Cricetulus griseus: one gene and its partner. The main gene of each other region encodes a partner of the protein of the gene in region 2 in a complex. Links are inferred from orthologs where the notes say so. Each region holds a gene or a part of one and is shown on either strand. Other genes may lie near its edges.

Region 1 (3,561 bases), about 86 Mb from region 2:
ATATGGAAATGATTGGTAACTGAAATCCAGAGGCCTAATGCATGTTCGTGGGGTGTGAAGATGCACAGGCCGGCATGTCTGCTCACCCAGTGGTTACAGGGCCTAAGAGAACAGCCTTTAGCTTTAATTACTCAAGATAGTCTGGTTCTCAAGATAGGACTATTTCATAGAAGAAAAATGTGATCATGATTCAATAATTCATGGTACATTTCTGCACGTAGTCTACCACTATAATTTTAAGAAGGAACCACAAATAGAAATTACTAGGCATTCAACTTCAAACTGGTGGAATAGTAGATTTTTAAAAATGTTATGCTTCATTTTGCAAGAAACACTGCAAGCTGAAATTCTGCAAACTCCCCTCCCCTAAAAGGAGACATAAATTTCCTCTTCTCAAGGAAATTGAGACGGTTTGAATCTGTTCTTAAGTAAAATTTGGGAGGAAGGAGAAAAAACAGAACTACTGGTTTAGTAGAGTGAAGTAGAAAAGCTCATACACATCCAGGGCTTCTACATACACTATGTCCCACCAAATTCAATCTACACTGCCAAGACAGGCTAACAGATTTTAAAGCCAATTTACCTATTCTAATTTCTGAGTAAATACCACCATAGCTTATATGAGAGTACAAGAAAATAACTTATTTTTATTATTATAAAGAAACACTTCCCTAATACATTTCAGGGCCATATTTTTTCTTGATTCTGAGGCTCCACCTCTAGTAGTCTAAATGCTTTCCAGTGAAAGTTACTTACAGTTCCACAAACAGAATGGTCAACTGATTTAAGGGTTTAAATAAGACAATATAGACAAGTCAGCTTCATAATTTAAAAGTTGACATCAAATACAATAAATTTATAAACTAAGGCAGGAGCAAATTAAGGGGACAAATGAGCCACCTAACACTATGGCTACACTTCCCAAATAGCAGCAGTTTAAATCTTAAAAATACATAACCCCAGCTATAGTCTTCTATGCATAAATACTTACTATTAGTGTAAATAATATTTACCTTGCTGGTTATTTTTTGCTCTGTTAACTTCTTACTTACATCATCATTCTGTTGTGCCTCCTGCATGACAAACTCTCGTACCATGGATGGATTATATTCAACCAAGTATGAGAATATATCAGTAGCAGCACTTCGCACCTGTGTATCATCCATGCCCTGCATAGAAAAAGTGCCATTCTCTTACAATTATAAAAACATGAACTTTATCAACAAAATTATCCAAAACCTGACAAAAGAAATTGTCACAAAGCACCAGACCATAAAACAAACATCTAAATGATTGGTAGGGGGAACCACTTTCCTGGTGGTGTAGCCACTGGTAAGTTGATGCTCTAGCAAACAACTCCTTATCCACATTCACTTATATAAGCAACCCTAATTAAAACCACTGGGTCCCAAAAAACAAAACAAAGACATGAAAGTAAGATAGGAATGAGAGCCAGTCAGTGGTGGCCCACACCTTTAATCCTGGCACTTTGGAGACAGAGGGAGGTGTATCTCTGAGTTTCAGTCCAGCCTGGTCTACAGAATTGAGTTCCAAGACAGTCAGTGCTATACAGAGACCCTGTTTAAAAAAAAACAAAACGGAAAGTAGGGATGCTTTAGGACAAAGAGAGGGATCAGCTAAAGTGGAAAGGAATGAAAAAGAGGATGGGAGACCATGATCACAACACACTGTATGAAATGGTCAGAATTGTAAAAATTTATCTAAGGGCTAGGGAGATTGCTCACTGGATAGAGCAGTTACCAAGAAAGCCTAAAAACCCGAGTTCAAATCCCAAGAACCCATGCAAAGCCAGGGATGACAGTGTCCACATTTGTAGCCCCAGTGCTTCTATGGTAAGATTAGAGGTGAAGACAGGGGACTCCATGAAAGCAACTAACCTAGCTAGCATGCAGTATATAACAACAAAAGGCAAGAGACCCTCTCTCAAACTGAATGGAAGGAAGCACGGATTGATACCCAAGTAGGCAGCATACATAGCAATGTCAAAGGACAAATCTTAGGAGGAGCCAAGGTCTTCCTTGGATCTGTTGCAGTGCTGCATACTCAAGGCTAGCTGTCTTGTAAGTTTCTGGACAGATCTGCCTCAGAATCCTACCTTACTGTGTGTTCTGGGATCATATTCTCCCCTCCCTCCCTCCCCCCCACATACCCACCCACCCCACATCCAGCTTCTGCTTCTGACATGGGTTTCGGGGATTAAATTTTAGTCATCAGGCTTGCATAGGTACCATTTTTAGTGGCGGCACCATTCCCCATCCTCAAGATATATTTAAAACCTTTTTTTTTTTTTTTTGGTGACAGGGCTTCTCTGTGTAGTCCTGGAACTCACTCCGTAGAACAGGTTGGTCTCAAACTCAGAGACCCATTGTCCTTCCTCTGCCTCTCTAGTGCTGGAATTATAAATATGTATATAATTGTCTGTGTAATGTATGATTTTTCAAGATCTAATTTCTTTGTGTAGTCCTGGGTGACTACACAAAGAGACCAGAAGTGCTTGGATTAAAGGCATGAATCACTATTCTCAACCATGTCCTTTTATTTTAACATTTCATTTGATAGGCTATAAAGCTAATTATTAAAGATGTGATTACATTATTATATGTATGTTCATATGTATGTACAACAAGGTCTAATTGTATAGCTCTCAAAGTCCTGGAATCCTTTGTATAACAGGCTACTTCAAACTCACATAAATTTCCCCAACTCTACCTGGGATTAAATGTGTATTACCACCACATCCAGCAAAAAATTATTTTAACAAAAGCAGTTTGCTAGTTAAACAAAGGAGGACTCTAATACTGGACTTGTATCATTTCTGTTAACTCTATGCTACACAGCTAGCACTAAATATCAGCTATACTCAAATGCTTTGCCTACTTCATAAAAACTTCTGTATTTATGTACTTAGATATATATGTTAATAATTAAAGAAAGAGAGGCCATTAACTTAGAGTTACAGAGAGAGAGAGAACACAAGCAGGTGCCTGGGAAGGAGGAAAGGGAAAAGTGATACAATTTTATAATTTCAAATAATAAAACTCTCCAATATCACATCCAGTTTTTGATATGGTTCACCTGGGCAGTTCAGAATGTAGAGAAGCAAACTTACAAGGATGACTTCTAAAGCTGGTAATATGCCCATATTTGACAAAGTCTTGAAAAAAGCATCTCTGTTTTGGGGTTGTAGCGTTTGAGAAAATGCACAAAATTCTTTTAAAAAATTAACCTGAAATCAGGAAAAAGGACAAGTATTAAAAAGGTCAATCTTAAATTAGAAGAGAATCAATTGAGTGTAAATGGCTATTCCACTTCTCTACCCTTCTAGTGTATGATTTCTTACCAATTCTTGTCTTTTTTCCTCATCTGTTGCTTCATCTGTCAGTTGTGCAAACAAATCTGTCAGAAATTTTTCATCTTCCTATGAAATAAATGATAAATTTAATTATCTTGCTGGCAAGACTATATAAAATACAATTTCAGCATGCTATAAACTAGCTTGATAAAAGATGTCATTTTTTTAAAAAGGAAAAAGTCATCTAT
Region 2 (3,561 bases):
GCTTCCCTAATGCTTTGGGCTTCACTCTCTCCAAAGCTCCCCTCCCCACCACATACCTTCCTGTCCCCCATTCCTGCTTAACTCTTTCTCTCTCTCTTCTCCGTCCCACTCCTCCAGGAAGCTACCTAGATGAACAGCTTGCCTACTCCAAGGTTTTTCTTTTAAAACCAATCAAGTTGTTCTTGAGCTTCCCTTCACATGTATCTTTAAATTCCTGTATTAACAAGACTCAAGAAGGGACCTGGATTTCCCCAGTCACCCAGCATTAATCCTGGAACAGAGAGGAAATAGACAGAACCACTTACGTTTCTTCTCAAAGCTTTTCTCACTGGAGGACCTCCCATCGTTCTGATGTTTCTCCTTCTCTAGCTGTTCCTGTTGGGACACAGAGTCATGTTACAGGTGCAGCTTGGGAGCTTGTTCTGAGGAAAATGACTCTCAGCTTTAGAGACACAAATATACCTCACAAAAATGCCTTTAAAAAACGGGGCTCCCCTGTGGTACAGAATTCAGAGGTGTGCTGTTGTTGCTATTTTAATGTGTGGTATGTCATATCACAGAATATTGCTCTTGGGAGTTTTTCCAACTAAAACAATGACTTTGGCATTACTCTACAATGAGCATTTATTGGTTCTCATCAACAGAGCATGTGTTTAACCATGGTTATTTCAATTCCTATTTATCGAACAACAAAATATCTTTCTTTAAAAAGACTTCAAGGCCTTCGAGGGGCTATAGTGGGGCACACCTTTAATCCCAGCACTCAGGAGACAGAGGCAGGTGCATCTCCATAAATTCAAAGCCAGCCTGCCCTACAGAGCAAGTTCCAGGACAGTTAGGGCTATACAGAGAAACCCTGTCTCAAAAAGCAAAATAAAAAAACAAACAAAAGACTGAGAGGAAAGGGAAAAGTCTACCAAACATATTTAAGATATCTTATTGAAGCAAGATATAGAGAGAAAACTTAAGACTCTGAACTAACAACCTCAGAAAAACAACATTTCCACACCAAAGGTTCTGAAAGGCTGACTGACCATCAGCTTGTGATTTTGGAGAGAGTGGAATATTGCCAACAAAATCAAACTAGCCTGGCCTGGCTTTAGTCCTTTAAACAGGCAGCCACTGCCCACTGCTGTATTTGCAGTAGGCAGTGGATAGAACTTTCAAAAGACTGTTAAATACACCAAGAGAAGACAGTGTTCAAGAAAATATTCACAACACGAGAGCATGTGACAAAAGAGCTCTTAATAAGAATGTGAACAACCTACTCTAAATTTTCAAAATGGACTTTATAGAAAACATGATAGTATGGCCAATAAGCAAACAAAAGGATGCTTAGTATCTTTGACACCAGGGATATTTAAAGCCACAGAGTTCTAGAAAACATGATCATGCTCTTGCTAGAAACTAACTCAATGGATGCTGAGGACAGATGTCAAGGGTAGGTGGGAATATATCGTCTAGACTGGATACATGTGAATAAATACATACTAGTTTCACTTAAGAAACTCATTTTCCTAACAATCTCAAATGTAATTTTTCTTCCAATTTATAAAAGATAAAACTTCAGAAAATCAAGACTTTTCTTCAGTCTTTTAGGAAATATGGAACAATGTAAAGCTGAAATAAATTAGCTTTAGGTTTACTATCAAAGCCCATCTAAAACTAATCAGAAAGGAGTATGTGGGTGGGAACAACATACCATTTCCAAAAAGAGCAGTTCTTCTCTTTCTTTCTCTTGATCCAACAAATCTTTCTCATAATTTTTTTTCTGAAACTGTTTAAAATTTAAAACAACATTGTCAATCATTAGGGACAACTTCTTGATGACTATAAATATCTCTTTACTATAAAGTAGAGTGTACTTACCGCATCCATAGACATTTCCATTCTGTCCAACTCTAATACTGTCTACAAGGAAAGTTTTTAGAAATTACAGTTGGTTCAACAGTAATGAAACACAATCAGCCAAGTATTTCTAAAAGAAACTCCTTCCCCAGGGGTATTCAAAGAGAACACTTTTTGCTTTGGTATTAATAAGCTAATCTTTCACCACCAATAAATGTTCAAAAACTGTGTTCCAAAGTCACACCCACATGTTAAGTCAGTTCTTGAAAGCTGAAGCATTTTAAGGTTTGATGTCACTAACCCAAATTTTTTACTTAGTTTTTCAACATTTCCACACAATCCACAAAACAGATCCTCATGCTAGAGCAAAATCATATGGCATAAAGTTTGAATGTTTAGAAAGAGATGTACTTGGGTGATGCCAGATCTCCATGATGCTGGCCCTACCACCTATTAGTATGTTCTCCAGCAGCCAGTGTTTCTAGCTCTAGTTCCTTTACAAAGTCAAACAGACTACTGGATTCACTCTGAGGGAGTCTTCCCACACTCTTCTAGAAAATATGACTTCCGGAATTTTATTGCCATGCAAACACTTAGAAATAAAATCTAGTGAATTAGTCATCATTTGAGCCAGGCTCACAAATACCTCAAAGGTGCTCAGCTCTCCCACAAGCTCATACTGCTAATAACAAAAATGCCCCTTAAAAAATGCCCTCTGTCATTTATTAGTTCTTACCACACTTGCAGATTGTTATCCTATCAAGCTTAAGTTAACACTGCCATACTGCAGGACACAGGTGTTATAAGCAGGAGGGACACTTACTTTTTTCACAATAGCCAGGACATCTTTATCTTTCTCTTGACACAGGAGTTTTCTCACACACATCTCTAATTGCTGAAGGAGATGCATGTCTGCAGGAATCTTCAGAGCTGATTTCACTTTGGGCAGCAGGTAGCAAAGTTTCATTCTGTATTTAGAGTGAGCTTAATAGTAACTAACAGTAATAGGAATGTGCAACTGAAAAAGTTCAGGCTTTAGAAAACTCAGAATTCAACTGCCCATGCAAAATATGTGTGCAGTGCCTACTATTTATAAGTCATTGTTATTCTGGATACCAGGACACAAAATTGAATCAAACCAACAAAATCCTCTTTGGGGGCTTGCATTCTAGTTTGGGGCATGGAAAACAGAATGCATATAAAGATAACATCTGCCAGAAACTGGTGAGTCAGTCTAGAAAGCAGTGTTAGAGAAATTAATAATGTTTTCAGTGAAAAGATGGTATTTAAGGAAAGACCTAGAAAATCAGGGAGCAAGACACTTGAGTGTCTGGAAAAGTATTATGGCCAATAGGGAAGGCTTGCCTAGTGATAGTCTGAATTAGTAAACTAGCCGTGGGGCAAAATATAGCAAAGATGAGCTTAGTAGGAGACCTGAGTAGTGACAAGGGGCCAGCTCATACTGGACCCTATTGGTCACTGTGCAGAGCCTGGCTTCTATTTCAAATGTAATAGGAATCATTGGAGGGCAGGAGCAGAGGAGTGAAGTGATCTGACTTAACTTTCCTAATTATCATCTACATTTTGAGACTAGACTGGTGGTTAAGGAGAGGAGGAAAGAGATGGAGACAACCCCAAACAAGAGCTAATGGTGCTTCGGGCCAGAAAGAGCAGCACGGGTTCCCAGAGAAGCCTGCTTTCTGCATGTCTTTT

What was found. The genes of interacting proteins can lie anywhere in the genome.
Region 1: Ppp4r4 (region 2) and Ppp4r3a share a complex: the UniProt entries of both Homo sapiens proteins name them as parts of the PP4 complex. The link is inferred for Cricetulus griseus from reciprocal best matches to the Homo sapiens genes PPP4R4 and PPP4R3A.

Annotation. Positions count from the first base shown.
Region 1 is NC_048598.1:104,697,377-104,700,937, reverse strand, and holds part of Ppp4r3a (serine/threonine-protein phosphatase 4 regulatory subunit 3A), read right to left. Parts: intron 3,440-3,561; coding exon 3,362-3,439; intron 3,248-3,361; coding exon 3,131-3,247; intron 1,170-3,130; coding exon 1,014-1,169; intron 1-1,013. UniProt on the Homo sapiens protein: Regulatory subunit of serine/threonine-protein phosphatase 4. May regulate the activity of PPP4C at centrosomal microtubule organizing centers.
Region 2 is NC_048598.1:191,010,604-191,014,164, forward strand, and holds part of Ppp4r4 (serine/threonine-protein phosphatase 4 regulatory subunit 4), read right to left. Parts: intron 2,817-3,561; coding exon 2,672-2,816; intron 1,912-2,671; coding exon 1,870-1,911; intron 1,778-1,869; coding exon 1,703-1,777; intron 376-1,702; coding exon 306-375; intron 1-305. UniProt on the Homo sapiens protein: Putative regulatory subunit of serine/threonine-protein phosphatase 4.